Linked DNA regions of Callithrix jacchus. The protein of the gene in region 1 interacts with the protein of each later gene in a biochemical or structural test. Links are inferred from orthologs where the notes say so. Each region holds a gene or a part of one and is shown in the gene's direction. Other genes may lie near its edges. The genes, in order: STUB1, UBE2W, ATXN3, NQO1, LRRK2, MAPT and PSMD4.

Region 1 (4,120 bases):
CCACACCGCGGAGGGCACACAACTTTATGACTGCGGCCCCCGACTCTGGCAGGAGTCAGAAGGCGGAGGTCAAGCGGTGCACAACCAGCTCAGGGGATTGGTGGCCACAGGCTGCTGAAGACATGGCCAAAAGCGGCCTCTCTGTGGGAGGCCAGGTCAGGATGCCTGGAGTGGTGGACCCTCCAGGAACCCCGCCCCACGACAAAGCCCCGCCCCCACGAAGACACGCCCCTAGGAGGCCCCGCCCACGAGGAAGCACCGCCCCACCGACGCCACTCCCTGAAGACCCGCCCTACGGAGGCCCCGCACACGAGGAGGCGGGGCCGCACCCCACCGGCAGCCTCTAGACTAACAGCCGTTCCAGCTCCCTTCGCGTCACGTGCTTCTCCGCTCGGCCCTTGATGGCCGCCAGCAACTCCTCCCGTTACCTGGAAAAGGGGGTGAGGGGAGGTCCGGCCACGGGGACACTCGCCCCACGGATCCCTTTATCTCTTACCAGTCTACCAACGGTCCACGGCTTCCAGCCGCTCTCGGGGGCCCGCGCGCGCTCGTAGCACCTTTCGGTGGCATTCCAGGATGGCAGCCCAGCAAGCCGCTGGGGTCCCCACAGCCCCAGAGCGCGTGGGAGGCCGCCATGTTACGTGGAGGGGAGGGGTCGGCTCTCAGGGGCGGAGCCTCTGCGGAAGGGGCCGGCTGCTGGGGGCGGGACCTCTGCAAACGGAGTCGACCCCCCCCCGAGGGCGGGGCCGGCTGCCAGGGGCGGAACCTCTGCAGACGGGGCTGACTGATGGGGGCGTGGCCGGGTGCTGGGGGCGGGGCCTCCGCCGATGGGGGTGGCTGCGGGGGCGGGGCCTCTGCCGATGGGCCAGGTGCTGGGAGTGGGGGCGGGTGCCGGGGGCGGGACCGCCGCAGATGCGGCCTGTTGTTGGGGGCGGGGCGGGCTGCTGGGGGCGGGACCTCTGCAGATGGGGTCTTTACGGGTTGGGGCAGGGGCGGAATCCCACGTGGGCGGGACAGGCTTTTAGGGAAGCACGCCCTCAGCGAACCAAGGCTGAGGCACCTCACGGAGAAAACCGGATATATGGGACGGCCGCCACCGAGGCCAGTTCTGGAGAGGCCTCGGCGGGGCGGGGCGGGGCTGGCCTCCGCGAATGCCGACCCTGAAAAACGCGGGGCCAGGGAACCGGAGCGTTCCTCGCAGCCAGCTACGTCGCGGGCCGACTGTCCCCGCCCAGGCTGGTTGGGCGCACGCGCGGCCCTACCCGCCCCCCGACGCCTGCGTCCCCGCCGATCCCGCCCCCGGCCGGAAGTTCCGGCGGCGGAGCTGGGCCGGGCCCGAGCTGATCGTGGGCTCGGGCTGCAGGGCTCGGGCTCGGGCTTCGGGTGCAGGGCCGTCAGGCGCGGAGCTTGGGAGCGCAGCCCAGGCCGTGCCGCTCGGCGCCATGAAGGGCAAGGAGGAGAAGGAGGGCGGCGCGCGGCTGGGCGCTGGCGGCGGAAGCCCGGAGAAGAGCCCGAGCGCGCAGGAGCTCAAGGAACAGGGCAACCGTCTGTTTGTGGGCCGAAAGTACCCGGAGGCGGCGGCCTGCTACGGCCGCGCGATCGTGAGTGCGCCCGCGTGGGGAAGGCGGCGACGGCGAGTCGGAGGGCCACGCCCGCGATCGGCCGGCCCCGCCGAGGGTCTGGCTCCTCCGCGGCGGGTATCCTGGGCTCCGAAAGCCCAGCATTGGTTCTCGATCCCAGCGCCAGGTGCCGGGGAACGAGGGTGGGATGCTAGATGGAGGCCGGCCGGGTGGGTGGGAGGCCAGGGTCCAAAGCTGGGACTCTCCAAAGATTTGGAAAACTCTACAGAACCAACCGGAGTGAGGTGTGTAGGCTCAGCCAGTAGTCCCGTGTCTGCAGATCCTTGGACCCAGAGGCTTTGGCTACTGAGAGGTCTAGGTTCTTGATCGTAGCCAGATCGCAGAAGCTGGGACGGGCCCTGGGACAGAGGGGGCGCGCTGAGCCTACGCCTGATGCGGCTGGCCCGGCCTTGGTCCCTAGACCCGGAACCCGCTGGTGGCCGTGTATTATACCAACCGGGCCCTGTGCTACCTGAAGATGCAGCAGCATGAGCAGGCCCTGGCCGACTGCCGGCGCGCCCTGGAGCTGGACGGGCAGTCTGTGAAGGCGCACTTCTTCTTGGGGCAGTGCCAGCTGGAGATGGAGAGCTATGATGAGGCCATCGCCAATTTGCAGCGAGGTTGGCCGACAAGCTGCCTGGGTGCGGGGCCCCTGGGACCAGGCGGTTGGACTGGCCAGCGTGACCGGAAGCCCTTGTTCCCCAGCCTACAGCCTGGCCAAGGAGCAGCGACTGAACTTTGGGGACGACATCCCCAGCGCTCTGCGAATCGCGAAGAAGAAGCGCTGGAACAGCATCGAGGAGCGGCGCATCCACCAGGAGAGTGAGCTGCACTCCTACCTTTCGAGGCTCATTGCGGCGGAGCGTGAGAGGTGGGACCCTTACCCCAGGCCGCGCTGTCTGGGGATAATTCTGAATAACCAACCGCCAACACGAATGTTTACTGAAAGTTTTACTGGCGAGCAGTGCATGTGGGGAAGAAGCCTGGATGTTAGCCCTGAGTCTGGGGTGTGGTCAGACATCTTCTGGCCAGGTCCGTCTCTGACGGGCTCCTGGTCATCCCCCAGGGAGCTGAAAGAGTGCCAGCAGAACCACGAGGGTGACGAGGACGACAGTCACGTCCGGGCCCAGCAGGCCTGCATTGAGGCCAAGCACGTGAGGGTGCCCCCATCCACATGTGGGTCTGTGTGTGTGCACACGTGGCACGGGAGCGTCCCCACCCTGCTGTGGGTCTGTGTGTCCCTGCCTCGTGTTGGGTCTGGGTACCACGGAGGAGGGAAGTGGGGTGTCCCTCCCAAGCACTGCTCAACTTTCCACAGGACAGATACATGGCGGACATGGATGAGCTCTTCTCTCAGGTGGATGAGAAGAGGAAGGTGAGTGCTGCTGTGGGTGGTAGGTCCTGGAGCAGCCCCTTCCCAGCCTCTGACCCTGTGCCCATGTGCCACAGAAGCGCGACATCCCTGACTACCTGTGTGGCAAGATCAGCTTTGAGCTGATGCGGGAGCCGTGCATCACACCCAGTGGCATCACTTACGACCGCAAGGACATCGAGGAGCACCTGCAGGTGAGGCTGGGGCCAGGGGGTGGGCAGGGCCAGCAGCAGGGTCCTAGGCTTGCTGAGCAGCCTCTGCCTCTTGTCACTGCAGCGTGTAGGCCATTTTGACCCTGTGACCCGGAGCCCCCTGACGCAGGAACAGCTCATTCCCAACCTGGCTATGAAGGAGGTCATTGATGCATTCATCTCTGAGAACGGCTGGGTGGAGGACTACTGAGCTCCTCGCCCTGCCCAGTGTCCTGGCCCCGGAGGGCCACGGGCAGAAGCCCCCAGCCCCTGTACATAGCTTGTGTCCCTGGCCACCCTTTCCCTTCCCCCCAGTTCTGCTGTTGGGCTCTGGACGGCTCCCCTCTCAGCATAGCTCTTGCTGGGCTGTGATCCTCCCCGTCCCCCATTCTGGGCTGGAAAAGCAGGTGAGGGTGGGCTGGGCTGCGGCCACCGTCTGTGTAATAAAATCCGTGAGCACAAGCTGGGGAAGAAGTGCTCTGTGTGACAGGAGTGCCTGCCGGCTGCCACGGCTAGCCAAGGAAGGTAGAGATGAAGACGCTGGTGTCAAGGTTGAGTGTGGCGTGCCACCAGCGGTCGGGGAAGTACAGCACCTGGTGAAGGAAGGGGGTGCAGCCGAGATCAGCTGCGGGCCTCTGACCTGGCCCGGTCCCTCCTGCCAGCCACTGACCTCACCAGCCTGGATGGTACACTCCAGGGGCCGTGCAGACGGCGGCAGGGCTGGGTATGTGTCCCGGAGCCAGGCCAGCGTGGTCTTGTTGGGGTGGAACTCTGGCGTCTTCTCAGGTGGGTAGAGGAACCAGCGCTGTGGGCAGGGGCAGCAGCGTCACCCTTGCCCACTTGGGTCATCCACCCAAGCCCCGACACCCACCCTGGGCTGACCTTACGGCCGTAGATCACCTCCGAGTACCCAGGCCCGTGCCAGTGGAAGGGCACCC
Region 2 (4,091 bases), on another chromosome or scaffold:
TAACTTCCCTAGTGATGGATAGTGTGTTTAATATTATACCATAAACTAACTGACGTATTTTAAATATATTTTTCTTTTTAAGCACATTTCAGATTAGAGAAGTTCCAAAGAACGTAATCTATTTTAAGAGTGTGAGTGATATTCTTCATTGCATTTATAGCTTAAAGAAATTTCTAAAACGAAAGCCGAGTCAATAAAATGACAGATTTTAAGCCTTCATTCTGGTAACATAAAAGCCTTCTACTCATTGTGTCTGCCACGTTAAGTTTTAAAGATAGAGCATGAGGTGCAGGCTTTTGGCTTCCATTTTCCTCTCATAAACCAATGACATCTTCAGTTCCAGAATAGCTTTCTTCAAACGTGACTTCTGATAAATGTTGGCAGAACTGGTGCATTCCTAAAATAAATTATGTATGCTCAGCTTTCCCTACCCAAGTTAATCCCTAAATGACCATAAAACCACCACGAAATAGGCTTAAGAGAAGTCTGGACATAATGGTATAAGTGTATATTATAACATTTAAAAAAAATTAATGCCTGGGGTCAACTCGCTAATCAAATTTAGACTGCCCCAACAACGGTAACTATTGTTGATACATGTGAAGTTTAAAACTTCACATGTATCAACAATAGTTGGAGTAAGGGGCAGAAACTGCACACAGCTTAGAAACTTCCAAATTTTCTCTCCCTTTTCAGGCAAGTTTCAGCTCCACAAATCTAAATATCCTCGCCTTTAAAATATCAGTGTTGTTCTGCTCTTACATCCTCATCCCGTTGTACAAGGAAACCTATGTCTCTCTTCTCCAAATTAAGAATACTAGAAGCCGTCAGAGCGAGACTTCGTCTCAAAAAAAAATCCCCCAAGAAACCTTCCAAGTCTCCAAAGACCAGAAAGTAGCTGCGCGGGAAGTTTTATGGGGCCCCAAGGCTCTGAGAGTGGGCTTGGTAGTAGGGAAGGCACATCCCAAGGGAAAAATCTGTACCGCACAGCTGTGCTTGGAAAAACAAAACGAACAGAAAAAAGCTGCGCAGATCCGGACGTCATAAGGATTTCGCGGTACAGACGAAGAAAACAACCGTAGCCGAGTCAAAACTGGAGCCGTGTGTCCTCGATAAAGAGTAATCAGGAGCCAGACTCGGGACCTGCGAGTCCAACTGTGACCGAAGGTACTCACAGCGCCATTTACCGTCCCCTCGCACCGCCCCACGGTCCCTCCTCCCGTTCGCCTAGCGTGCCAGCCAATCCCCTCGCGCTATCCCCTTCCCTTTACAGATCCCGCCCCCGCGCCGGGGATGTTGAGCCCCCGCGGCGTGACGCGAGCACGGCAGCTCCGCCCCCTGCGTCTCTGGCCTCGCCGGCTGTGGGGGGATGGTTCCATCATGGCGTCAATGCAGGTGAGAGGAGTTTGCTGCATCTGGGCGGGCCAGGGAGCCGCCAAGAGGGTGCCAGCGTTCGGGCGGGGGCGGTGTCCGCGATTCGGGGACACCCGGGCGGGTTCGGGATCGGTCAGGGTAGTCTGTTTTCTCTCCGCTCAGGGCGTCGGGGGAGGGGTGAGAAGCGGCGAGAGGCGTCGGGTGGTGGGGTGGGGGGTGGTGCGGTATCCGTCGGTCGAAGGGGACACCAGCCGACTGGGAAGTTGGGTGATAAAGGAGGCTTGGGGGAGAAAGGGCGAAGTCTGGCGTTCCGGTCTCAAAATCCGCTCCGCGCGCGCGCGCGCACACACACACACACACACACACACACACCCGCTGCCAGTCTGCTCCCCGCCAGCCCCACGGTTGCCTTTCTCCCGCTGTCCCTGGCCCGACGGAAACAGCTGCGCCCGCGGTTGTAGCCCGGGCAGGGGCGGCGAGGGGCTGAGTGTGGTGGAGCCGAGAAGGCGTCTCGGGAGAGGGCGGCTAGCTGCAGACGGCGCTCAGCGGCCTCTGCTCCGGCCTCCCACGCCGGGCCTCTCTTCTTCCCTTGACTCTTAATTCTGTGCTCGTGGGTACCTTCTCTTTCCATCTGCACCGGCATTCTCACTGACATTCCTCCAGCAGTCCACTGTCTCCTTCCTCTCGAAGCTGCCCGAGTCCACCGCCTGATGGACAGTCTCCCGAGAGCCGAGTCCTCAGCCCCCTTAAACCTCTCGGGATAGTTCGCCCTCTATTTTGTTTTCCCCTACAATGCCCCACCCTTGCGGTCGAGGTAAAGCTACTTGTTGTTGCCCTTAACTACCCAGACCTTCAGTAGAATCTAAATGGGTAGGAGGCGTTTGTTAACCTGTGTCATTTCTACCCCACTTAGCAAGTGGGGTTTTCTGGTTTTCCAACTTAATTTACCCCTTTTCCCCGAAACCAGGGAGTTGTTTTAATTATTTTTGCAGGCAAAGATGGCAACCACAATTGTAGTTTTGTAGATATTGACTGTGTTATGTATACCCTGCATTTAATTCATTGATGAAGACGAGCAGTATCAAAGGACATAGGAAGAGAAAGTAGACCTCTAAATAGGAGTGTCAGCTGAATACCTTTTAGCATTTTATTAACATCCCCTTGGGTAAAGAGAGACCACGTTTTCTTAGAAGTGTTTTTTGCTTTTGTTTCTGGAAGAAGCAAGTCTCTGTTCCCCCTCCTTTTTTTTTTCTTTTCTCTGCTGAAAGTGTTTTTCTTCCCTTTTTTGCATCTTCTTCCTCTTTTGTATAAATATTTCTTTGCTTCACATTTACTCCTGTGCTTTTATGTTATTCCCCTTTCAACCTGTTTTCCTTACAGTATTCTTTTTACCTTTGCTTCTCCCTCTGGACTTGCCTGCAGAACATAAAAGTTTTATATAACATTTCTAGTTGAAGAGATGTCACGAATGGTGCAGGGAAAAAACAAGAACAATTTCAGGAAACGTTATACTTTACACTAGTTTCCCCAGAGACGTTAGAGAAGTTTCGTCATTTGAGGCTGAAAAAGGAACTGTGGAATCCTAGTTGAACAGTAGACGCAATAGGCTACAGGACCACTTAAAGATTTTATGTGTTAAGATGAAAACATTTTTTATGAGCTTAAGATTATCGGTATTAAGATTAAAACGTAATTTGAGGCTAAAGATTAACATTAAAATCCACAATACTTATGATAATATTTGACAAGAGAACTTAGTGTGTTATCTGGTTAGATTGAGTGTCTGGTAAAGACAGATTTGTTTATGAGAGAAGTTGGTAATCTTGAACTTTACATAGTGTCCTAAGCAATGGAAACAAATACTTGATTGATAGTGCAATAGTGCGTTTTCCTGTGCCCTAAGTGTTACTACCTTAGACTGTCTTATCACTTTGGTTTTTGCTTTTGAGACAGAGTCTTGCTCTGTCGCCAGGCGCCAGGGTGGAGTGCAGTGGCACGGTCTCGGCTCACTGCAACGTCTGCCTCCCGGTTTTAAGCAAGCCTCAGCCTCCCGAGTAGCTGGGACTACAGGAGCACGCCACCACGCCCAGCTAATTTTTGTATTTTTTTAGTAGAGACGGGGTTTCACCATGTTGGCCAGGATGGTCTCTATCTCTTGACCTCCTGATCCGCCTGCCTTGGCCTCTTAAAGTGCTGGGAATACAGGCGTGAGCCACCGCGCCTGGCCTTTATTTATTTATTTATTTTTAAGACGGACTCATCCTCTCTAACCCAGGCTGTAGTGCAGTGGCACGATCTCGGCTCAACGGCGTTCTCCGCAGCCCGGGTTCAAGCGATTCCCCTGCCTCAGCCTCTTGAGTAGCTGGGACTACAGGCACACGCCACCATACCTGGCAAATGTTTTTGTATTTTTAGTAGTGATGGGGTTTCACCATGTTGGCCAGGATGGTCTCCATCTCCTAACCTCGTGATCGCCCGCCTCGCTCTCCCAAAGTGCTGGGATTACAGGTGTGAGCCACTGTCCCCCGGCTGTTTTATCACTTTTTAAAGTTTTTCCCGTCACGTATTCTGTCTAAATCTTATCACTCTCTAGTCTATGTTTTCTGGTTAGAGGAATGGAAAACAGATGCTTCCTGTTTTTATTAAAATAAAAAATCTTTCCTTTTTATTTGTATTTTAAAATGTCTAGTGTAGATTTTCTGGTAGTGTCTTTTTTT
Region 3 (4,138 bases), on another chromosome or scaffold:
AGCCTCTTGAGTAGCCGGGGTTACAGGCGTGCGCCACCACGCCTGACTAATTTTTGCATTTTTAGTAGAGACGGGGTTTCACCATGTTGGCCAGGCTGGTCTTGAACTTCTGACCTCAGGTGATCTCACCTCAGCTTCCCAAAGTGCCAGGATTACAGGCGACAGCCACCGTGCCCAGCCATTTTTTTTTTTTTTTTTTTTTTGGTGAGATGGACAGAGAGAGAAACTCCGTCTCAGAAAAAAAAAAAAAAGTGCATCTTAATCTGGTTTCCAGGTGCAAGATGTGTGCCTATCCTTCCATTTAAGGTTCATCAAACTGCTGCTACCTCCCCGTTTCCCACACAATTCACTGCACCTCTAATTTCCCTCTAAAGGGCCAGAACACCTATGCTGGTAACAAGCCACTTGAATTTGAATCCTAGCAAGGTAACTTACTATCTTGGACATTGTACTCTTCTTAATCTCTCTGTGCCTTGGTTTCCTCATGTGTATGAATAACATCAACACCGACATCAAAGTTTGCTGTATTAAATTTGATAATATGTGTAAAGCAATTAGAAAAGTGCCTAGCTCATGGAAAGCCCTATATGAATATTAGCTAACTTTTTTGTTTTCTTTTTTGTGTGTGTGATGGAGTTTCACTCTTATTGCCCAGGCTGGAGTGCAATGGCACGATCTCAGCTCACCCCAACCTTCATCTCCTGGGTACAAGCGATTCTCCTGCCTCAGCCAACGGAGTAGCTGGGAATTCAGGCATGTGCCACCATGCCTAGCTAATTTTGTATTTTTAGTAGAGATGGGGGTTGCTTCACGTTGGTCAGGCTAGTCTCGAACTCCCAACCTCAGGTGATTCGCCTGCCTCGGCCTCCCAAAGTGCTGGGATTACAGGTGTGAGCCACTACCCCTGGCCTAGCTATCATTTTTATACAAGTGCTAGGTTTTGGGAGAATGTAATGACACCTTTGCTTAACAACCTTTAATTGGAGGAGGAGGAGAAAGATAATAAATAGTTATTTGAACACAGTAGAAAGTTCAAATAAAGTGGAAAACAAAAAGAACATAGAACCCAGGTGAGTGGTCCAGACCTCCGGCCAGAAACCTAAGAATCCATAGAAATGGGTGGGAAGCGGAACAGATCCTCCAAACAGCAGGTGGCGCTGTAGCATCTCCCAGAAGGCCCGCTAACAGAATATAGGAGGACGGGCTACCAAGGTCACGTGTCGCTGGCGTTCACTCGCTCTTTGCTCCACGTGACTCACATCCTCACGGGTGATTGGTCTACGTACTGCACGTGGGCGGGGAGACTGGGGCGGACCAGGGAGGGGCGGGATAGGCGGAGGAGAGGGGCAGGGGGCGGAGCTGGAGGGGGTGGTTCCGCGCGGGGGCCGTTGGCTCCAGACAAATAAACATGGAGTCCATCTTCCACGAGAAAGTGAGTGTCCGCGTTCGGTGGGGAGCTGTATGTCCGTGCGGTGGGGAGCTGTCTGCCGCGCGGTGGCGGGCGTGGAGCGCGGCATCACAACCTCCCAGGGGGCTGGGTGGGGCCCGAGTCGCCCCCATCCGGATCTCGCCGGGCGAGGGGCGACCCCGCAGCCTCCTGCCTCCTCGGCTCTGGAAGGGGAGCATCACAGAATCCCCCACTTCCCCCGCTGCTTCCTAGGCCCCCGCCCGGGAAGCCGGGAGGGTGTATGGGCGGGGCCGGGGCGTCTCGGGACAAGGGAGTGGGGTGGCGCCTAGTGGGTTCGCTTCTGCCTTTTTCCGTCACTTTCAATCGCTTTTCGAAGGATTCTTTGACCTCCGCAAGCCTTCTCTCTCCCTAGGGTCTAGCTAGAGTGACCTCTGGGACATCTCCCTCGACCCCTCCTACCCCATTCCTGGCAGAATTAACTTTTTCATCTCTGGACTGCTCAATTCTATATTGCAGTGTAGAGTCTTCCCTACACGTAGATCTTTGGAGTCTTGTTCATGTCTTTCCCCTGCACTGGGTCCGCAAGCCTCCCGAAGGAAGGGACCTTGGCTCCCCCACACTGGGGCCTGACACTTAGGAAGTGAAGTAGGAAACCCGGCTTGTCCCTTAACAGGGAAGTCGTCACAAGTTTTTATTACGGGATGTTTGGGTTTGGTTTCTTTGGGTACTCCCATCTTTCCGGAGCAGGCGGCCAGCTTTGTGTTTGGGTATTAGGAGTGGATTGGAATGATTTTGTTGTGGTCTGCCTAGCCCGCTGTCACTTTAACTCTTCAGTGACCATGCACTTGAAGATACTGTTTGTGATAAGTGGAGAAACTTGTCTTTACTCACATGCTATTAATCCAGCCATTTGTGTGTGAGTGAAGCCTTCCCCAGGACAACTTTGGCATATGATGTCTTGTTTCATAATAGTTTCGTGTTTGGAGTTGCTGGCGAGGCTGTTATTTAATAGGAGGAGCAAAGGGTTTTTGTTTAATTAAATACTTGTAAATGATCAGTAATTATCACGATTAATTATCCCAGACATTTAAAATTCACACACACACAACAAATAAAGCAAAGGCAATAAATTTACCAGATGTAAATCTGTAATATGAATCTATTTAAAAATTTTTTATTTTAGCGATGGGATTTCATTCTGTCACCCAGGCAGGTGTGCAGTGGAGAGATCCTGGCTCGCTGCAGCCTTGACCTCCTAGGCTCAAGCGATCCTCCTGCCTCAGCCTCACTGGGACTTCTGGTGCATATCGCCATGGCCAGCTAATTTGTGTGTGTGTGTGTGGAGATGAGGGTCTCGCTGTGTCGCCCATGCTTGTCTCAAACTCCTGGACTCGTGATTCTCCCACCTCAGCCTCTCGAAGTGCTGTGATTACAGGCATTAGCCAGCCACTGTGCCTGGAACAAATTGTTAAGTACAATATTTTAAATTGTAGAAAACATCTAGGAAACTTTTAAAATAGACTGATTTAGAGTGGGGGAGGAAAGACTCAGTCGTATAGTTGTTATTAATCTTTTGGTTTGATTGACATGACTTACAAATCATAGACAATAGAGATTTAATTACTTGGCTCAGTAATTAAAGAGTGGGTGGAAAATACACATGTACTTAAAAAAAAAATTTTTTTTTTTTTTTTTTGAGACCAAGTTTTGCTCTTGTCACCCAGGCTGGAATGCAGTGGCACGATCATGGCTCACTGCAACCTCTTCCTCCCTGGTTCAAGGGATTCTCCTGCGTCAGCCTCCAGAGTAGTTGAGATTACAGGTGCCCACCACCACATCCAGCTAATTTTTGTATTTTTAGTAGAGACAGGGTCCATGTTGCCCAGGTCTTGAACCCCTGACCTCAGGTGATCCACCTGCCTTGGCCTCCCAAAGTGCTCGGATTACAGGCATGAGCTACCGCACCCAGCCGTATTTTTGTTACTAACTTTCAAAGGCTTTGATGTGGGACCACATCTCAACATGGAAGGCCTTAAATATGTTCCACACTACTTCCTGAGATTTAGACAAGGTTTTCAACGATATTGATTGTTACCTAGTTGGGACACATTTCTACTGAACCATGGTATGAAAAAAAGTTGGGTGCTAGCCTAGTGAAAATCTACTTACCTGAAAGAAGTCCCTCTTAATTCTTAGCATGTGTGTAGGCCTACAGATACTTCAGGAATACATTTAATGTTATCATCAAGTTGTATGTACATAGCAAATGAAGATTCAACAATTTAGGTTGATGTTTTTGTTTTTTGAGATGGAGTCTCTCTCTCCTGCCCAGGCTGGAGTGCAGTGGCGTGATCTTGGCTCACTGCACTCTCCACCTCCCGGGTTCAAGTGATTCTCCTGCCTTAGCCTCCTGAGTAGCTGGGATTATAGGCGCCCACCATCATGACCAGCTAATTTTTGTATTTTGTTGTTGTTGTTGTTGAGACAGAGTTTTGCTCTTGTTGCCGAGGCTGGAGTGCAATGACACAGTCTCAGCTCACTGCAACCTCCGCCTCCCTGGTTTAAGCGATTCTCCTGTCTCAGCCTCCTGAGTAGCTGGGATTACAGGCGCCCACCACCATGACTGGCTAATTTTTTGTATTTTCAGTAGAGACGGGGTTTCACCATGTTTGCCAAGAGTAGTCTTGAACTCCTGACCACAAGTGATCTGCCTGCCTCAGCCTCCCAAAG
Region 4 (4,126 bases), on another chromosome or scaffold:
CATCTGTCATTCTTCTGATGGTTAATTACCACTTTTTCTAGTCATTTTTCCTTCACCTTTTGACAGTATGTCTCCCCTCTTCACTATAATTGTTACTTTATAGTTTTTTTTGTTTGTTTGTTTGTTTTCTTGAGACAGAGTCTCACTCTGTCGCCCAGGCTGGAGTGCAGTAGTGGCACAATCTCGGTTCACTGCAACCTCTGCCTCCCGGGTTGAAGCAATTCTCTTGCCTCAGCCTCCCAAGTAGCTGGAACTACAGGTGTGCACCACCACACCTGGTTAATTTTTGTATTTTTAGCAGAGACTAGGTTTCACCAGGTTGGCCAGACTGGTCTGAAACTCCTGACCTCAATTGATTCCCCTGCCTTGGCCTCCCAAAGTGTTAGGATTACAGGCGTGGGCCACCACCTCCAGCCCAGATTTAAATTATTTGCTCTGTTCTGTTCTGTCCCTTTGTGTGAGCTTTTGTGTAAAGCCAGTACACTTGGTTCTGTTTTGGCTATTTTTTAAATGCTTCCCTGTAACTGCTACCTCCACACCAGCCTTGCTTTAGTTCATGGGGAAACAAAACCAATTAGTTTCCAATTACCTGCTTTGAGGAGCAGGGGTAGGCTGGCGGCAGGCACCCACAGAAGTACATTGTATGTGCCCCCAAGTGCAGAATCTGAATCTTGAAAAGTAAGAAATGGCCCAGGCGCTGTGGCTCACTCCTGGAATCCCAGCACTTTGGGAGGCCGAGGCGGGTAGATTACCTGAGGTCAGGAGTTCGAGACCAACCCCGTCTCAAAAAAAAAAGGAAAAGAAAAGGAAGAAACAAACGCATTTCTACGGAGCAAGTCTCTTCAGTGCTGTTAGCCTTCCAAATCCAGTCACAGTGACTCAGCTAAATCTGACCCTAGGAAACCACAGTAATCTGCATCCAGCTTTTGCTGCCGGGTTTCTTGCCAAGGCCCGAAGGGTGTGGCCAACCGATCCCTGGACTCCTTGGGAACAACCTCCTCCTTGCATCCCCTTGCCCCTCAGGACACAGTGCGCAGATGGGCCTGCCTAGCCCCTCCAGCCAGATTTTTGAGGTCTCTGTCACACACCCCCACAAAACCCCTCCCCCGACCCCCAGAGACTTTTCGCGACTTCAACCAGTTGCTAGGGTGAGCGGGAGTGGAAGGGCCCCTCCTTCATCCCCCAGGCTCCCTCCCTTCCTGGAACTGTAGCCTCGGCAGCCTCTGCCCAGCGCCCCAGGACCAGGCGTTCGGTACCACCCTGGTTGGCTGTCCAACTCAAATGGGCGGGGCAGCAGATATAAGAGAGAATGCGCTGCGCACTCGGGACTCTTGCATGGTTGGTTGCAGCCCCTGAAACCAACCCGGAAAACCTACTATCTGGCCAGGGTCGCCCCAGCAACCACGAGCCCAGCCAATCAGCGCCCTGGACTGCCCCGGAGCCATGGCCGGTGAGTGCAGCCAAGGAGGAAGTTTTTGCATTTCTGGAGACCTGGTGTGTGCGGAGGTGGTTGTAAGGGCTTAGCTCTGAGTGTTTTTCCTTGACTCAAAATGCACAAAGGAAGAGATTAGGGTCCTGGGATGAGCCTTGATCGGATTCCAGCAGGGGGAGAGCTTCTGTTTGTATGGGAGCCGCAGATACTCCCTCACTCCACCCCACGAACTCTAGTGGACATTTAGGAAGCAGACCTTAGAAGCAGACATTCCCTCCAAAACTGGGGTTAGTTCAGAAACTGACCCTCGGAGGCCAAATCAGGCTTGCGGTCACTGTCTATACCTCTTTTGGTCTATAGTATTTAAAACACTTTGACATAAGTTGCTAACATTAAAATGGGTGATTTCACTTAAAAATGTGGATTCCCGGCTTCTGAAGAAAATGAGATCAGGCGATTGGTGGGCAGGAGTGGAGGAAACTGATGCCTTTAGTTTGACGGAGACCAGAACCAGCTCCAGGCTGCCAGGCTCAGGTTTTATTTTGCTTTGTGTTTTTGAGATGGAGTTTCGCTCTGGTCGCCCAGGCTGGGGTGCAATGGTGCGATCTTGGCTCGCTGCAACCTCACCTACTGGGTTCAAGCGATTCTTTGGCCTCAGCCTCCCGAGTAGCTGGGATTACAGGTGTGCACCACCACACCCAGCTAAGTTTGTATTTTCAGTAGAGATGGGGGTTTCACCATGTTGGTCAGCATGGTCTCGAACTCCCTGACTCAAGTGATCCACCCACCTCGGCCTCCCAAAGTGTTGGGATTACAGGCTCAAGTCTCTGTGCCCAGCCTTGGGAGGTATTTTCCATTAAGCCTCTTGGATCAGGCAAACCTGATTGGCTAGCACTGGATCTGTTTCTGGTATTGGGTTCATTTCAGTGATAGAGCCTCCCCACTTGCCCATCAACCCTAGGGGAACTTAGAGGGTACCCTAACTCTACCTGAGGCATAAATAACCAGCTGAGACAATTGCAGGGACTGAGAGCTGTTTCCCAAACAATTTCACTCTGAGATTGGACAGTGCTAAGATTTAGAAAGCTGTTGCCTCAGCTGGGGCAGAATTCTGCCTTTCTGTAATTTCCTTCCCTGTGAACCTGGTCCTGCCTCTAAAAATGCACCTGTACCAGGGAGGCAGAGGTTGAAGGGAGCGGAGATCGTGCCACTGCACTCCAGCCCGGCCACAGCAGGACTCCATCTCAAGAAAATAAAAAGCAACTGCACAGACAAGAAACCCATCTTGGTCAAAGTGAGTGGGGGAAGAGATCACGCTTGCAGTTGACAAACTAAACTTGTCAGGATCTCTAAGAAAGGGAGGAACCTGTGGATTAGAAGCCCAGCATAAGTTGCTGGGGGAAGACAGCAGGGCATAGGTTCTGAGAGCTGAGAGGCTTCCTGCATACGCGGTGGCTGCTGCTTCCCTTGTATTTCATTCTTCAGCTGCTCTGAGGCACCGGCACCCTCTCCTCCAAATACTAGGGCAGGAGCTAACTCCTGACTTTTCAATCTTCCAGAGTGTTCTGTGTTTCTGTGTAGTTTAAGCACAAAAAAGCGGGTGGTAACGAGGGAAAAGGGGAGACTTGGACCTTGTATAATTAGTTTTAGCTGTACACAGCTAACCAAACCTTGAGGTTAACTGAAACATCCAGGCTTTTTGTTTGCAACTAGTAGACGCATCTGGCTTGCACTTATATTCCCTGGAGGATTCAAGTGAGCCGAGAAGGCAGAAGGAGAATGCAGGAAACTGCTGCTAAGTCTTGCCCTTATCATACTTCTCTCTTTCCTTTTGAGACAGGGTCTTGCTCTGTCGCCCAGGCTGGAGTGCAGTGGCATGATCTGGGCTCACTACAGTTTTGACTTCCTGGGCTGAAGTGATTGTCCCATCTTTGCCTCCTGAGTAGCTGGGACTATATGTGTGTGCCACCACACCCGGCTAATTTTTTTGGTCAGAGCAGAACAACTTGAAACCCAGCTAATTAAACAACATTTTTTTTTTTCTGCTGGGCATGGTGGCTCATGCCTATAATCCCAGCATTTTGGAGGCTGAAACAGGAGGACTGCTTGAGGCCAAGAGTTCAATACCAAGATTCAGCTCAAATGGCAAGCTCCTCTCAGAACCCTTCCATTAGGGCTTGAGCCAGCCCTCAAGTCCTGAGGTTTCCTTCAGAGATGGAGTCTCACTCTGCTGCCCAGGCTGGAGTGCAGTGGCATGATATAGGCTCACTGCAATCTGTGCCTCCCAGGTTCAAGCCATTCTCATGCCTCAGGCTCCCCAGCAGCTAGGATTATAGGTGCACGCCACCATGCCCAGCTCATTTTTGTATTTTTAGTAGAGACGGGTTTTTACCATGTTGGCCAGGCTGCTCTCAAACTCCTGACCTCAAGTGATCCCCCCTCTCGGCCTCCGACAGTGCTGTGATTCCAGGTGTGAGCCACCGCGCCCGGCCCTCTGTTGAACTTTGCCCCTTACCCCTCCTAGCACACTAATGCCACTGTACCCTGAGGAGGTTATCTGTGCATGCATCTGGGGCCTCTCAGGATAATGCTCTAACTCTTCCCAGGTCATGTTGTTCAGCTAGGTGTGTGGCCGGAAGGGTAAATGAACCTTCCAGGCCCAGAAAACTTCCTTTCTGTCAATTGCCTGTTCAC
Region 5 (3,500 bases), on another chromosome or scaffold:
TGGAGTGCAATGGCACGATCTTGGCTCACCACAACCTCCGCCTCCTGGGTTCAGGCAATTCTCCTGCCTCAGCCTCCTGAGTAGCTGGGATTACAGGCACGCACCACCATGCCCAGCTAATTTTTTGTATTTTTAGTAGAGGCGGGGTTTCACCATGTTGACCAGGCTGGTCTGGATCTCTTGACCTCGTGATCCACTAGCCTCGGCCTCCCAAAGTGCTGGGATTACAGGCGTGAGCCACCGCGCCTGGCTCTGTTTTCTATTATAATATATATTGCTTAAAGATCTGAACAGAGAAGAAAGCACTCCAATTAGGATGCCGCCTAAATTATAAGCATGTCGCTGTACTTTGAGAACACTAAGTTGCGTGCAAGTTTGTGATGACTAGGCTTTCCTGCCTTTACTGAAGGAGCAGAATGAAGCCACAGATAATGGATTTGGATAACCAAATCCATTTTGTGGTGAGAAATTCCTTACTTTCAATGTCTTGAAGAGATGAAGTATGTTACCAAAGGAGATTGGGTTTTTAAAGATTACAGATAAGTGACTTAGATTGTTTGGGAGTAAGGTTTTAGATATAAGTTTTTATGTTTTTAAACACATACTGACAACTTCTGACAAGCCTTTGGAAAGTTTTAGAACTCTGTTGAAAGTTCGTGCAAGCTGCTGATGGAATCTGTGAGCCTTTCTTGTTGCTTATCATCTATTTTTTGGCAGAACACATTTCTTACTTCCCACCAACAGGTTTTGCCCTTTTTTATTCCATTAAGATTCCTCCTGAGATTGGCTGTCTTGAAAATCTGACATCTCTGGATGTCAGTTACAACTTGGAACTAAGATCCTTTCCCAATGAAATGGGGAAATTAAGCAAAATATGGGACCTTCCTTTGGATGAACTACGTCTTAACTTTGATTTTAAACACATAGGATGTAAAGCCAAAGACATCATAAGGTTTGATTATTTAATTTCTATTTGTTTTTATCAAATTTATTTCAGATTTCCACTCTGTGACTTCGATGGACATATATTGTTATGCTTTAGGGAAAAAAATCAATAGTAATATTGGACATTAATGTGCTATGTGTCATTTGCCTTTCATTTAGTGAATGTGTTTCTATGGTGCCACTGTAGAGATTTTTCATTCTTCTTAGCCAGGTAACATTGAGAGTGACTTTTTTGCCTTCTCTTTCTTTTTAGTGGAGTAGACTCTGAAAGAAAATATGTATTGTTATTCGGTCTCTTGTTACCAATTACACAATCTAAAGAAATATGGCACGGTATAATAACTTATCACACTGTATTTCATATAGCAACTAGTAAACATATGCCTCTTACATCTTAAAGCATTATAGTTACTGACATCATGTGAAATCACTAACTTCTATTTTGCTCATTAGGATGAGTAATCTACTCACCTTGATCAGCTCTGAAACTACCAAAACTTCTCAAGTATCGCTGTTTCTGGTCTTTACACTTGAAACACTTTAAATATCTTTAATAATGGATTTTATCCCACTTTTTGTTCCCTTTCAGCACATTGTTCTTATTATTTTCTCATAAAATCCTTTGCTCCCTTTCCCACAGTTACTGTATTAACATTGCAGACCTCAGCTCTGTCGTCACCTCCCAGCTAGACTGTAATGTGCACCAAGGCAGAGACCATGGCTGTGTTCACTCACTATTCAAATCTTGGCACCAAACACAGTGCCTGGCATAGAATTAATAGTTGTTTAATTACCTGTGTTTTATGCTTACTCATTCTCTTCCGCCTAAAGTCTCTTAAATTTATATTTAACTTTATATCTTTTTATGAGGAAGGATTTGGTTTTCTGAATTCTTGAGCTTCATTTCATTGTAAAGGAAAGAGTTTAACTTTTGTGCTAAAAGTGACTACCCTTCATTTTACACAATTATTTTTCCCTCTTGAAAGTGGAAAAGTTGGCCATATAAAAATTGGTTCAATTCTTACTAAACGTTTAGCAGAACTAGCTTTCAGTGTATTATGCTGTATTTTAAAGCTACATAACTAAATATGTTAAATATTTTAAACATGTTTAAGGTTTTCAGGAAAGACAGAAAGACCCTAGAGCGGATTAGAAATTGTAGGCATCATTTGCTTTTTGAAGAATGACATATTTCAAATAGTGCTGCCATCTTAAGAAATAAAAAATGAAGAAAAGTAATGTTGCTTTTCAGTTATATCATCAGAAATGTTGGTCAGAGATCGGTCACTACTCCGATGTAAAATTCATTTTTTATTTAGGTTTTCTCTAATTTTAAATGGCGGCAACACTTTAACATATTTCAAAATATGTCTTTCTATTTTTATTATATTTTTGATAACACTTTAAATCTACTGTTAGTTTAAAGGTCATTTTTTAGCTACCTAAACACTTCTATTTAGTTCAGTTTTTATGTTAAGATCATTAGGAATGAAACCATGTTAACATCTTCTGATAGTATAATAGTTTATATGTATTTATGTATGATGTAATATGATCTCACTATCTGTATATACTATTATATGCATTTGTGAAATATATCTATCTATACATCCTATATTCTACATATGACCATATAGACACATGTAGAACTAATATGACCTTATCAAGGTTTATTATTACAGTATACATATTTTTATCTTGTTTTTATGTCATATGGACTTTGTGAAATTTTATACTTTATAAGGTTTTTAATACTATTAAAAGAAATTCAAATATGTATACACATATGTATGTATATGTGTGTATATATAGATGTATACATATTGCGTATTGTATGCTGATTAGTATTGGAAACACATTTTGGCCTTTTGATTATTTCTGGTGGTAGTGTAACATGTTATATTGGTAATTCTACCAAACACTATCAACTACACTAAAATCTCTAGCAAAATATATGCATTAACAATACACTGAAAGGCGTATTGTTATTAGTTATATATATATATAACTAATGAGTTATATAACTCATTATTAGTTATATGAGCTATGCGCTCTTTTAGAAACTATATCTTAGAATAGTGTTACATGCAAAACAACTCACTTAAATCTCATGTACTTTTAAGCGGTTTATTATTTTATTTTTATCTTTCAAATACTAGGTTTCTTCAACAGCGGTTAAAAAAGGCTGTACCCTATAACCGAATGAAACTAATGATTGTGGGAAATACTGGGAGTGGTAAAACCACCTTATTGCAACAGTTAATGAAAATCAAGAAATCAGATCTTGGAATGCAGAGTGCCACAGTTGGCATAGATGTGAAAGACTGGCCTATCCAAATAAGAGGCAAAAGAAAGAGAGACCTCGTTCTAAATGTGTGGGATTTTGCAGGTATTTCTATAGAATTTTAAAATTCACTTTTACCACTTGTTATAAACAGGGTTTAAAAAAACTGAGCTTTCTGTTCTAATATCCAGAGAACTGGTAGACTGTATGGAATTATTCCAAAGCCCTTCACTTCTCCTCATTTTACTCCAGCCTCCAGAATGGAGAAGAA
Region 6 (3,500 bases), on another chromosome or scaffold:
CCTGGCTATGTCATGTCTCTCTACTTTCAAAAGGGCTTCAGCCAGACACAGTGGCATGAACCTGTAGTCCCAGCTGCTCAGGAGGTTAAGGTGGGAAGATTGCTTGAGCCCAGGAATTTGAGGCCAGTCTGGGCAATATAGTGAGATCCCCATCTCCAAGTAGATAGGTAGATGACAGATAGATAATAGATGGATAGATAAGTCACTAGACAATCCCCATCCTAAATCATACACCCACCCACCCACAAACAGGCCTTTGTCACGTCATGTTTTGTGGCCCGCCTGCCAGCACTGCCCACAGTTGCTGCCACCTCCAAACTCATCAGTCACTGGCAAACAGGAGGAATTTGTGTGGCTTATGTCTGGGCATCAGTGGCTCTGGGAGACATCCTTGATCTTCTCCAGCTTCTCTTTCCACATTTTCCTTTGCAATCTGGCAATATGTCTCAAAATGTGCATGCCTTTTGACCTAACAGCTCTACTTCTAGGACCCACTTACACGTGTGTGACATGTTCATACAGGGTTGTTTATCCCTGTTGTTCATACACACCATTGCCTGTAATCACCAAAGGCAGGAGCAGCCTAAACCTCCAGCCACAGAGTAGATGCCTTTTGGTACATCCACGGGGAGGGAATACTAAGCAGCCTTTGTATGTATGTACTCACACATGTGTTTATAGATGAAATATCTCTGGAGGATCCATAAGGAACTGAAAATGACCACTGTCTCTGGGGAGGGTATCTGGGTGCCTGGGAGGCAGATCAGGGGAGGAGTGGACACAGGTATTACCATTTGGAAGACACTAAAAACAGCTCCTGGCCAGGTGTGGTGGCTCACACCTGTAATGCCAGCACTCTGGGAGGCCGAGTCAAGTGGATTACTTGAGTCCAACAGTTTGAGACCAGCCTAGGCAACATAGTAAAACACCATCTCTATTAAATATACAAAAAATTAGCCAGGTGTGGTGGTGCATGCCTGTAATCCTAGCTACTCGGGAGGCTGAGGTGGGAGAATGACCTGAGCCCAGGAGGTTGAGGCTGCAGTGAGGTGAGATTGTGCCACTATACTCCAGCCTGGGCGACAGAGCAAGACCCTGTCTCAAAAACAAAACCAGTCCTTGGCACTGTGGGCCAGACCTGGCGGGACAGTTGGCAGGGCTTGTCTCCCTTTCTCTGGCACTTTATCTCACCCTCCCTCTTCTCCTTGAAGATTGAAACCCACAAGCTGACCTTCCGTGAGAACGCCAAAGCCAAGACAGACCACGGGGCGGAAATCGTGTACAAGTCTCCGGTGGTGTCTGGGGACACATCTCCACGGCACCTCAGCAACGTCTCCTCCACCGGCAGCATTGACATGGTAGACTCGCCCCAGCTTGCCACGTTAGCCGACGAGGTGTCCGCCTCCCTGGCCAAGCAGGGTTTGTGATCAGGCCTCCGGGGCAGTCAGTAATCGTGGAGAGGAGAGAGAGTGAGAGTGTGTGGAAAAAAAAAGAATAATGACCCGGCCCCCACCCTCTGCCCCCAGCTGCTCCTCGCAGTTCGGTTAATCACTTAACATGCTTTTGTTGCTCGGCTTTGGCTCGGGACTTCAAAATCAGTGATGGGAATAAGAGCAAATTTCATCTTTCCAAATTGATGGGTGGGCTAATATTTTTTAAAAACACTCAAAAACATGGCCACACCCAACATTTCCTAGGGCAATTCCTTTTGATTTTTTCCCTCCCTCTGTGTAGAAGAGGGAGGAGAGGCTCTGAAAGCTGCTTCTGGGGGATTTCAAGGGACTGGGGGTGTCCACCACCTCTGGCCCAATCCAGGGGGTGTCACAGAGGCAGCGGCAGCAACAAAAGATTTGAAACTTGGTGTGTTTGTGGAGCCACAGGCAGATGATGTCAGCCTTGTGTGAGTGTGACGGGGGTGGAGTGGGAGGCCAAGGCAGGGGCTGGGCAGAGGGGAGAGGAAGCCACATGCTGGAGAGGAGATGCTGCCCCACTCCATGCCGATGGGAGGGCCAAGGCCTCCGCTGCCTGCAGCATCTCAGACCAAGTGGTGCCTGTCCTTTGTGGCTGGGGCCTGCTACGGGTCGGTGTGCCACCCTCTGCTGGGCAGCCTGTGGGAGAAGGGACAGCGGGCAAGAGGAGAAGGCAGGCCGGCGGGAGGGTGGTGCCCCATGGATGATTTCCTTGGAGAAGACTGATCTTGACATCTGAGGGCGCTGGCCTCTTCCTCCCTCTCTGCAGGGTGGGGGGCCTGAGCTGAGGGACTTCTCTCTGCTCCACAAAACCCTGTTTTATTGAGTTCTGAAGGTTGGAACTGCAGCCACGATTTTGGCCACCTCACAGACCTGGGACTTTAGGGCTAACCAGTTCTCTTTGTAAGGACTTGTGCCTATTGGGAGACATCCACCTGTTTCCAAGCCTGGGCCACCGGCATCTCTGGAGTGTACAGGGGTCTGGGAAGTGGGTCCTGAGCCTCCTGTCCTTCCCATGGCCACTGCCATCACCCGTCTGCCCCGCCGTGCCACTGTTTGCCATGAGAGCCCATTCACTGCCTGTATCCCACATCACGTCACCATGTCACCACCTACTTATCAGTAATGACCCTGCGGGAGGTTGGCTTCGGGAGGTACCTACTCCATACTGAGGGCAAAATTAAGGGAAGGCAAAATCCAGGCACAAGAGTGGGACCCCAGCCTCTCACTCTCAGTGTCAGTCATCTAACTGGTGTGCCCCTCACCACGAATCTCATGACCTGATTCTGTTCCCTGCCTCGTCCTCCCTTCACAGATGTGAGCCAGGGCACTGCTCAGCTGTGACCCTAGATGTTTCTACCTTGCTGATGTGGAGAGAGCCCTTTGCCCCCAGAAGGCCTGGCCCCTTCCGGTGCTGAGCTGGCAGCAGGAGGCTGGGTGTCCTGGTTGTCAGTCATGGCACTAGGACAGGTGGGCAAGGCACCCAGGGCAGGCCCACAGTCCCGCTGTCTCCCACTTCTACCCCAGCTTGTGGCTGCCAGCCTCCCAGACAGCCCAGCCGCTGCTCAGCTCCACATGCATAGAATCAGCCCTCCACACCCCCGAAAGGGGAACACGCCCCCTCGGAAATGGTTTTCCCCCCAGTCCCAGCTGGAAGCCATGCTGTCTGTTCTGCTGGAGCAGCTAAACATATACATAGATATTGCCCTGCCCTCCCCATCTGTACCCTGTTGCGTTGTAGTTGGATTTGTCTGTTAATGCTTGGATTCACCAGAGTGACTATGATAGTGAAAAAAAAAAAAAAAAGGACGCATGTATCTTGAAATGCTTGTAAAGAGGTTTCTAAGCCACCCTCACAAGGTGTCTCTCACCCCCATGCTGGGACTCAGTTCCAGGCCAGTGTGGCTCCAACCTGCTGGGGCCTCCCAAGTTTTATAAGGCTTTCATCAGCACCTGGGACCCAACAGAGACCAGATTCTAGCATCGAAGGAGGCCCTTCAGCTGTGAGGGCCTGAAGCACAGGATTAGGAC
Region 7 (4,202 bases), on another chromosome or scaffold:
GGGTCCCTCTAGCGGTGAGCGGCGACTAGTGCTTATTCTCTAGCTGTGTGCTGTAATTTATATTCAGATACAAGTAGGGCCTATTAGTGTAAAACTAACTAAAAGGGAAATTAAAATCATAGGATAATAAAGTTGAAAATCGTCATCTGGTTTAATATTTTACTTTTTAAATTATTTTTGTTAATATTTTACTCTTAAGCATGTTAATCTCAGCTCTTCTGAAAATTATCCAGAGACGAAGTCTCGCTATTAGTTTTTTAGCCAGGTGTTGTAGTCGCAGCTACTCTGGAGGCTTAGGTAGGAGAATTGCTTGAACTCAGGAGGCAGAGTTTGCAGTGAGCCCAGAAGATCGCGCCACTGCACGCCAGCCTGGGCAACAAGAGCCAAACTCGGTCTCAAAAAATAAAGAAAAGAAAAAAACAAATATACAAATAAATTAAATGGAAGGGTATAGGGCTTGTAGTTAGATGAATAAAATGCTACAGGAAACTGAGAGCTCTAGAACGTCACTGGTGATCTCGACACTTTTTTTTTTTTTTTTTTTTTGAGATGAGTCTTGCCGTGTAACCTAGGCTGGAGTGCAGTGGCGCGATCTTGGCTCAGTGCAGACTCAGCCTCCCGGGTTCAAGCGACTCTCCTGCCTCAGCCTCCCGAGTAGGTGGAATTGCAGGCGTGTGCCACTGCACCCACCTATTTTTTTTCCTTCCTTCCTTTCTTCCCTCTCTCCTTCCCTTCCTCCCTTCCTCCTTCCTTCCCACCTTCCCTCCTCTCTCTCTCTCTCTCTCTTTTTTTTTTTCAGACGGAGTCTCACTCTGTCACCCAGGCTGGAGTGCAGTGGTGTGATCTCGGCTCACTGCAACCTCCGCCTCCTGGGCTCAAGCGATTCTCCTGCCTCTGCCTCCTTAGTAGCTGGGATTACGGGCGTGCGCCACCACGCCCGGCTAATTGTTGTATTTTTCGTAGAGACGAGGTTTCAGCATATTGGCCAGGCTGGTCTTGAACTCCTGACCTCAGGTGATCCGCCTGCCTTCACCTCCCAAAGTGCTGGGATCACTGGTGTGAGGCACCGCGCCCGGCCGATCCCGACACTTTTTTTTTTTAATGACAAAGCTAGAACAGACATAGAATTTTCAGATTCCTCCACAGCTCCCCTAAGATCCAGCCGGCGGGAAGCCCCAACTGAAAACAGCAATGGGAGGTAACGCGGAGGCTAGATCCTGCTTTTTTGTGTGTTACTGCGATTCCCTCTACTCCCAAAACGCCCCTTTTTTTGACGGCGCCTACAACTCCCAGAACGCAACGCGAGGGACGCAGGCGGAAGCAGCTGGCCAAGCTGAGGTCTGTGATTGGTGAAGAGCGATGGGCCAATTGGAAGAGTTGTTGCTAGGACGTCCCGGAGAACAGGTCGGGAGGGAGGAAGGTGGCAAGATGGTGTTGGAAAGCACTATGGTGTGGTGAGGCACTATCTCGGGGCTGGAGGGGCAGAGCTGGGTCCGGGCGCGTGTATCGCCGAGGCCGGGCGGGCCTGGGGTGGGGGCTGGAGGCTCATGGGCGAGAGGCGGCCCTGGGCCGGGAGGGAAGGAGCCCGCTCGACTCCCTGAGTCATCCCGGGGCCCTGGAGAAGCGGACAGGCCCGGGTTACCCCTGTTACCCCCAGGGGTATGGTCGTTGACCGGCCAGTCCTTCTGCCTATCTCTATTCCAGCGCCGTGTTCTTTAGAACAGCCGGATTCTGTCCTAAGTAATGCTTCTCGGACTCATTGTAAGTCTTCTGTCCTCCTTCGCAAAATAATGTCTGTTAGGAAAATAGATTATTAATCCCTTACTCTCTCCATTCCCTCGTCTCTAACTCTGTTACCTTTCCCTTTATCATCCTCAAAGTACCATCTACAGATTGCTTTTTATATACCATTTTGTTTACTTTATCTCACTTAGACCTCACAGCTACACCTTAGGGTAAATTCTCCATTTTACTGTTCAGGATACCGATTTTAAGTGGCTTGTCCAAAATCACACAGCTAGTTAAGTGGTGTAGTCAAGATTTAAACCCAGGGCTGTGTGACACAAAGGCTTTTATCCGACAAGTAGCTCTCCGTCAGTCTCAGGCTTGGGCTGAGTACCTATTACGAGTCACATTAGATGCTGAGGACATCAATTTTTGGAGGGTGTCAAGAATTCTAAGTGTAATCGTAGAGCGTAATACAGAATAGTAGATGAACACAAATCACCAATTGGGTGGAACAGACACCTATGAGATTTCTTCTTTTTATTTTTTGGGGAGAGCATAGCAGATAACATACAGGATACCCAGTGAAATATGAATTTCAGATAAATGATTAATTTTTTTTTTTTTGAGACAGCTCTGTTACCCGGGCTGGAGTGCAGTGGCGCGATCCAGCTCACTACAGCCTCCGCCTCCCGGGTTCAAGCGATTCTCAATGTTTGAACTAATTAACTTGCACCAACAGTGTGTGAGTATTCTCTTTTCTCACAATCTTGCCAGCATGTGTTATTTTTTGACTTTTTAGTAATAGCCATTCTGACTGGTGTGAGGTGGTATCTCATTGTGGTTTTGATTGGCATTTCCCTTTTTGAGAACGAGTGTGGCTCTGTCACCAGGCTGGAGTGCAGATGGCATGATCTCAGCTTACTGCAACCTCCACCTCCCAGGTTCAAGTGATTCTCCTGCCTCAGCCTCCCCAGTAGCTGGGACTACAGGCATGCACCGCCATGCCCAGATAATTTTTGTATTTTTAGTAGAGATGGGGTTTCACAGTGTTGGCCAGGATGGTCCTGATCTCTTGACTTCGTGATCTGCCCGCCTTGCCCTCCCAAAGTGCTGGGATTACGGTCATGAGCCACTGTGCCTGGCCTTGATTGGCATTTCTCTAATGATCATTGATATTGAGGTTTTTTTTATTTGCTCGTTGGCTATATGTATGTCTTCTCTTGAGAAGTGTCTGGCCGGGTGCAGCGGCTCACGCCTGTAATTCCAGCACTTTGGGAGGCTGAAGTGAGTGGATCACCTGAGGTCAGGAGCTCCTGACCAGCCTGACCAACATGGTGAAACTCCATCTCTACCAAATTTAATTAGATTCCACTTGTCAGTTTTGCTTTTGATGCAATTGCTTTTGGTTCCTTTGTCACAAAATCTTTGCCTATTCCTAAATCTAGGATGGTAGTGCCTAGGTTGTCTTTCAGGATTTTTTTTTTTTTTTTTTTTGAGACAGTTTTGCTCTTGTTGCCCAGCTGGAGTTCAATGGTGCAAGCTCTGCTCACCGCAATCTCCACTTCCCTGGTTCAAGCTTTTCTCCTGCCTCACTTCCTAGTAGCTGATATTACAGGCATACGCCACCACACCTGGCTAATTTTGTATTTTTAGTAGAGACAGGGTTTCTCCACGTTGGTCACGCTAGTCTCGAACTCCTGATCTCAGGTGATCCACCTGCCTGGGCCTCCCAAAGTTCTGGGATAACAGGTATGAGCCACCATGCTTGGCCTGTCTTCCAAGATTTTTATAGTTTTTGGTTTTATAGTAAGTCTTTAATTCATCTTCAGTTAATTTTTGTGTATGGAGTAAGAAAGGAATCCAGCTTCAGTCTTCTGCATATGGCTAGCCAGTTATCCCAGCACCAATTATTGAATAGGGAATCTTTTCCTCACTGCTTGTTTTTGTCAGCTTTGTCAAAGAGCAGACAAAACGTAGGCCAGGCACAGTGGCTCAAACCTGTAATCCCGGAACTTTGGAAGGCCGAGGTGGGTGGATCACGAGGTCAGGAGATCGAGACCATCCTGGCCAATGTGGTGAAACCCCATCTCTACTAAAAATACAAAAAATGAGCCAGGCGCAGTGGCATGTGCCTGTAGTCCCAGCTACTCAGGAGGCTGAGGCAGGAGAATTGCTTGAACCTGGTAGGCAGAGGTTGCAGTGAGCTGAGGTTGCGCCACTGCACTCCAGCCTGGGCGACAAAGTGAGACTCTGTCTTAAAAAAACAAACAAAACAAAACTAAGAACTGATGATTGTAGGTGTGCAGCCTTATTTCTAGGCTCTCTATTCCGCTTCATTGGTCTATGTGCCTGTTTTTGTACCAGTCCCATGCTGTTTTGGTTATTTCAGCCCTGTAGTAATAGCTTGAAGTTGGGTAACGTGATGCCTCTAGCTTTGCTCTTTTTGCTTAGAATTGCTTTGGCTTTTCTGACTC

What was found.
Region 2: the proteins of STUB1 (region 1) and UBE2W form a complex in vitro, tested with the Homo sapiens proteins (7 studies listed by BioGRID, with this or other methods). The link is inferred for Callithrix jacchus from reciprocal best matches to the Homo sapiens genes STUB1 and UBE2W.
Region 3: of the proteins of STUB1 (region 1) and ATXN3, one has a biochemical effect on the other in vitro, tested with the Homo sapiens proteins (6 studies listed by BioGRID, with this or other methods). The link is inferred for Callithrix jacchus from reciprocal best matches to the Homo sapiens genes STUB1 and ATXN3.
Region 4: of the proteins of STUB1 (region 1) and NQO1, one has a biochemical effect on the other in vitro, tested with the Homo sapiens proteins (2 studies listed by BioGRID). The link is inferred for Callithrix jacchus from reciprocal best matches to the Homo sapiens genes STUB1 and NQO1.
Region 5: the proteins of STUB1 (region 1) and LRRK2 form a complex in vitro, tested with the Homo sapiens proteins (3 studies listed by BioGRID and IntAct, with this or other methods). The link is inferred for Callithrix jacchus from reciprocal best matches to the Homo sapiens genes STUB1 and LRRK2.
Region 6: of the proteins of STUB1 (region 1) and MAPT, one has a biochemical effect on the other in vitro, tested with the Homo sapiens proteins (11 studies listed by BioGRID, with this or other methods). The link is inferred for Callithrix jacchus from reciprocal best matches to the Homo sapiens genes STUB1 and MAPT.
Region 7: of the proteins of STUB1 (region 1) and PSMD4, one has a biochemical effect on the other in vitro, tested with the Homo sapiens proteins (5 studies listed by BioGRID, with this or other methods). The link is inferred for Callithrix jacchus from reciprocal best matches to the Homo sapiens genes STUB1 and PSMD4.

Annotation. Positions count from the first base shown.
Region 1 is NC_133513.1:2,940,267-2,944,386, forward strand, and holds STUB1 (E3 ubiquitin-protein ligase CHIP), read left to right. Parts: upstream 1-1,320; 5' UTR 1,321-1,442; coding exon 1,443-1,601; exon of another isoform or gene 1,602-1,746; intron 1,747-2,040; coding exon 2,041-2,239; intron 2,240-2,324; coding exon 2,325-2,490; intron 2,491-2,557; exon of another isoform or gene 2,558-2,685; coding exon 2,686-2,773; exon of another isoform or gene 2,774-2,937; coding exon 2,938-2,994; exon of another isoform or gene 2,995-3,068; coding exon 3,069-3,185; exon of another isoform or gene 3,186-3,245; coding exon of another isoform or gene 3,246-3,267; coding exon 3,268-3,393; 3' UTR 3,394-3,644; downstream 3,645-4,120. Other genes in the region: JMJD8 (jmjC domain-containing protein 8), read right to left, coding at 3,695-3,775, 3,853-3,987, 4,065-4,120. UniProt on the Homo sapiens protein: E3 ubiquitin-protein ligase which targets misfolded chaperone substrates towards proteasomal degradation.
Region 2 is NC_133517.1:29,573,169-29,577,259, reverse strand, and holds the start of UBE2W (ubiquitin-conjugating enzyme E2 W), read left to right. Parts: upstream 1-1,291; 5' UTR 1,292-1,293; coding exon 1,294-1,395; intron 1,396-4,091. UniProt on the Homo sapiens protein: Accepts ubiquitin from the E1 complex and catalyzes its covalent attachment to other proteins.
Region 3 is NC_133509.1:126,952,602-126,956,739, reverse strand, and holds the start of ATXN3 (ataxin-3), read left to right. Parts: upstream 1-1,338; 5' UTR 1,339-1,408; coding exon 1,409-1,432; intron 1,433-2,724; exon of another isoform or gene 2,725-2,863; intron 2,864-4,138. UniProt on the Homo sapiens protein: Deubiquitinating enzyme involved in protein homeostasis maintenance, transcription, cytoskeleton regulation, myogenesis and degradation of misfolded chaperone substrates.
Region 4 is NC_133521.1:27,293,949-27,298,074, reverse strand, and holds the start of NQO1 (NAD(P)H dehydrogenase [quinone] 1), read left to right. Parts: upstream 1-1,326; 5' UTR 1,327-1,443; coding exon 1,444-1,450; intron 1,451-4,126. UniProt on the Homo sapiens protein: Flavin-containing quinone reductase that catalyzes two-electron reduction of quinones to hydroquinones using either NADH or NADPH as electron donors.
Region 5 is NC_133510.1:35,407,594-35,411,093, reverse strand, and holds part of LRRK2 (leucine-rich repeat serine/threonine-protein kinase 2), read left to right. Parts: intron 1-770; coding exon 771-952; intron 953-3,104; coding exon 3,105-3,334; intron 3,335-3,500. UniProt on the Homo sapiens protein: Serine/threonine-protein kinase which phosphorylates a broad range of proteins involved in multiple processes such as neuronal plasticity, innate immunity, autophagy, and vesicle trafficking.
Region 6 is NC_133506.1:86,763,000-86,766,499, forward strand, and holds part of MAPT (microtubule-associated protein tau), read left to right. Parts: intron 1-1,211; coding exon 1,212-1,427; 3' UTR 1,428-3,500. UniProt on the Homo sapiens protein: Promotes microtubule assembly and stability, and might be involved in the establishment and maintenance of neuronal polarity.
Region 7 is NC_133519.1:11,149,406-11,153,607, forward strand, and holds the start of PSMD4 (26S proteasome non-ATPase regulatory subunit 4), read left to right. Parts: upstream 1-1,402; 5' UTR 1,403-1,428; coding exon 1,429-1,454; intron 1,455-1,704; exon of another isoform or gene 1,705-1,761; intron 1,762-2,359; exon of another isoform or gene 2,360-2,470; intron 2,471-4,202. UniProt on the Homo sapiens protein: Component of the 26S proteasome, a multiprotein complex involved in the ATP-dependent degradation of ubiquitinated proteins.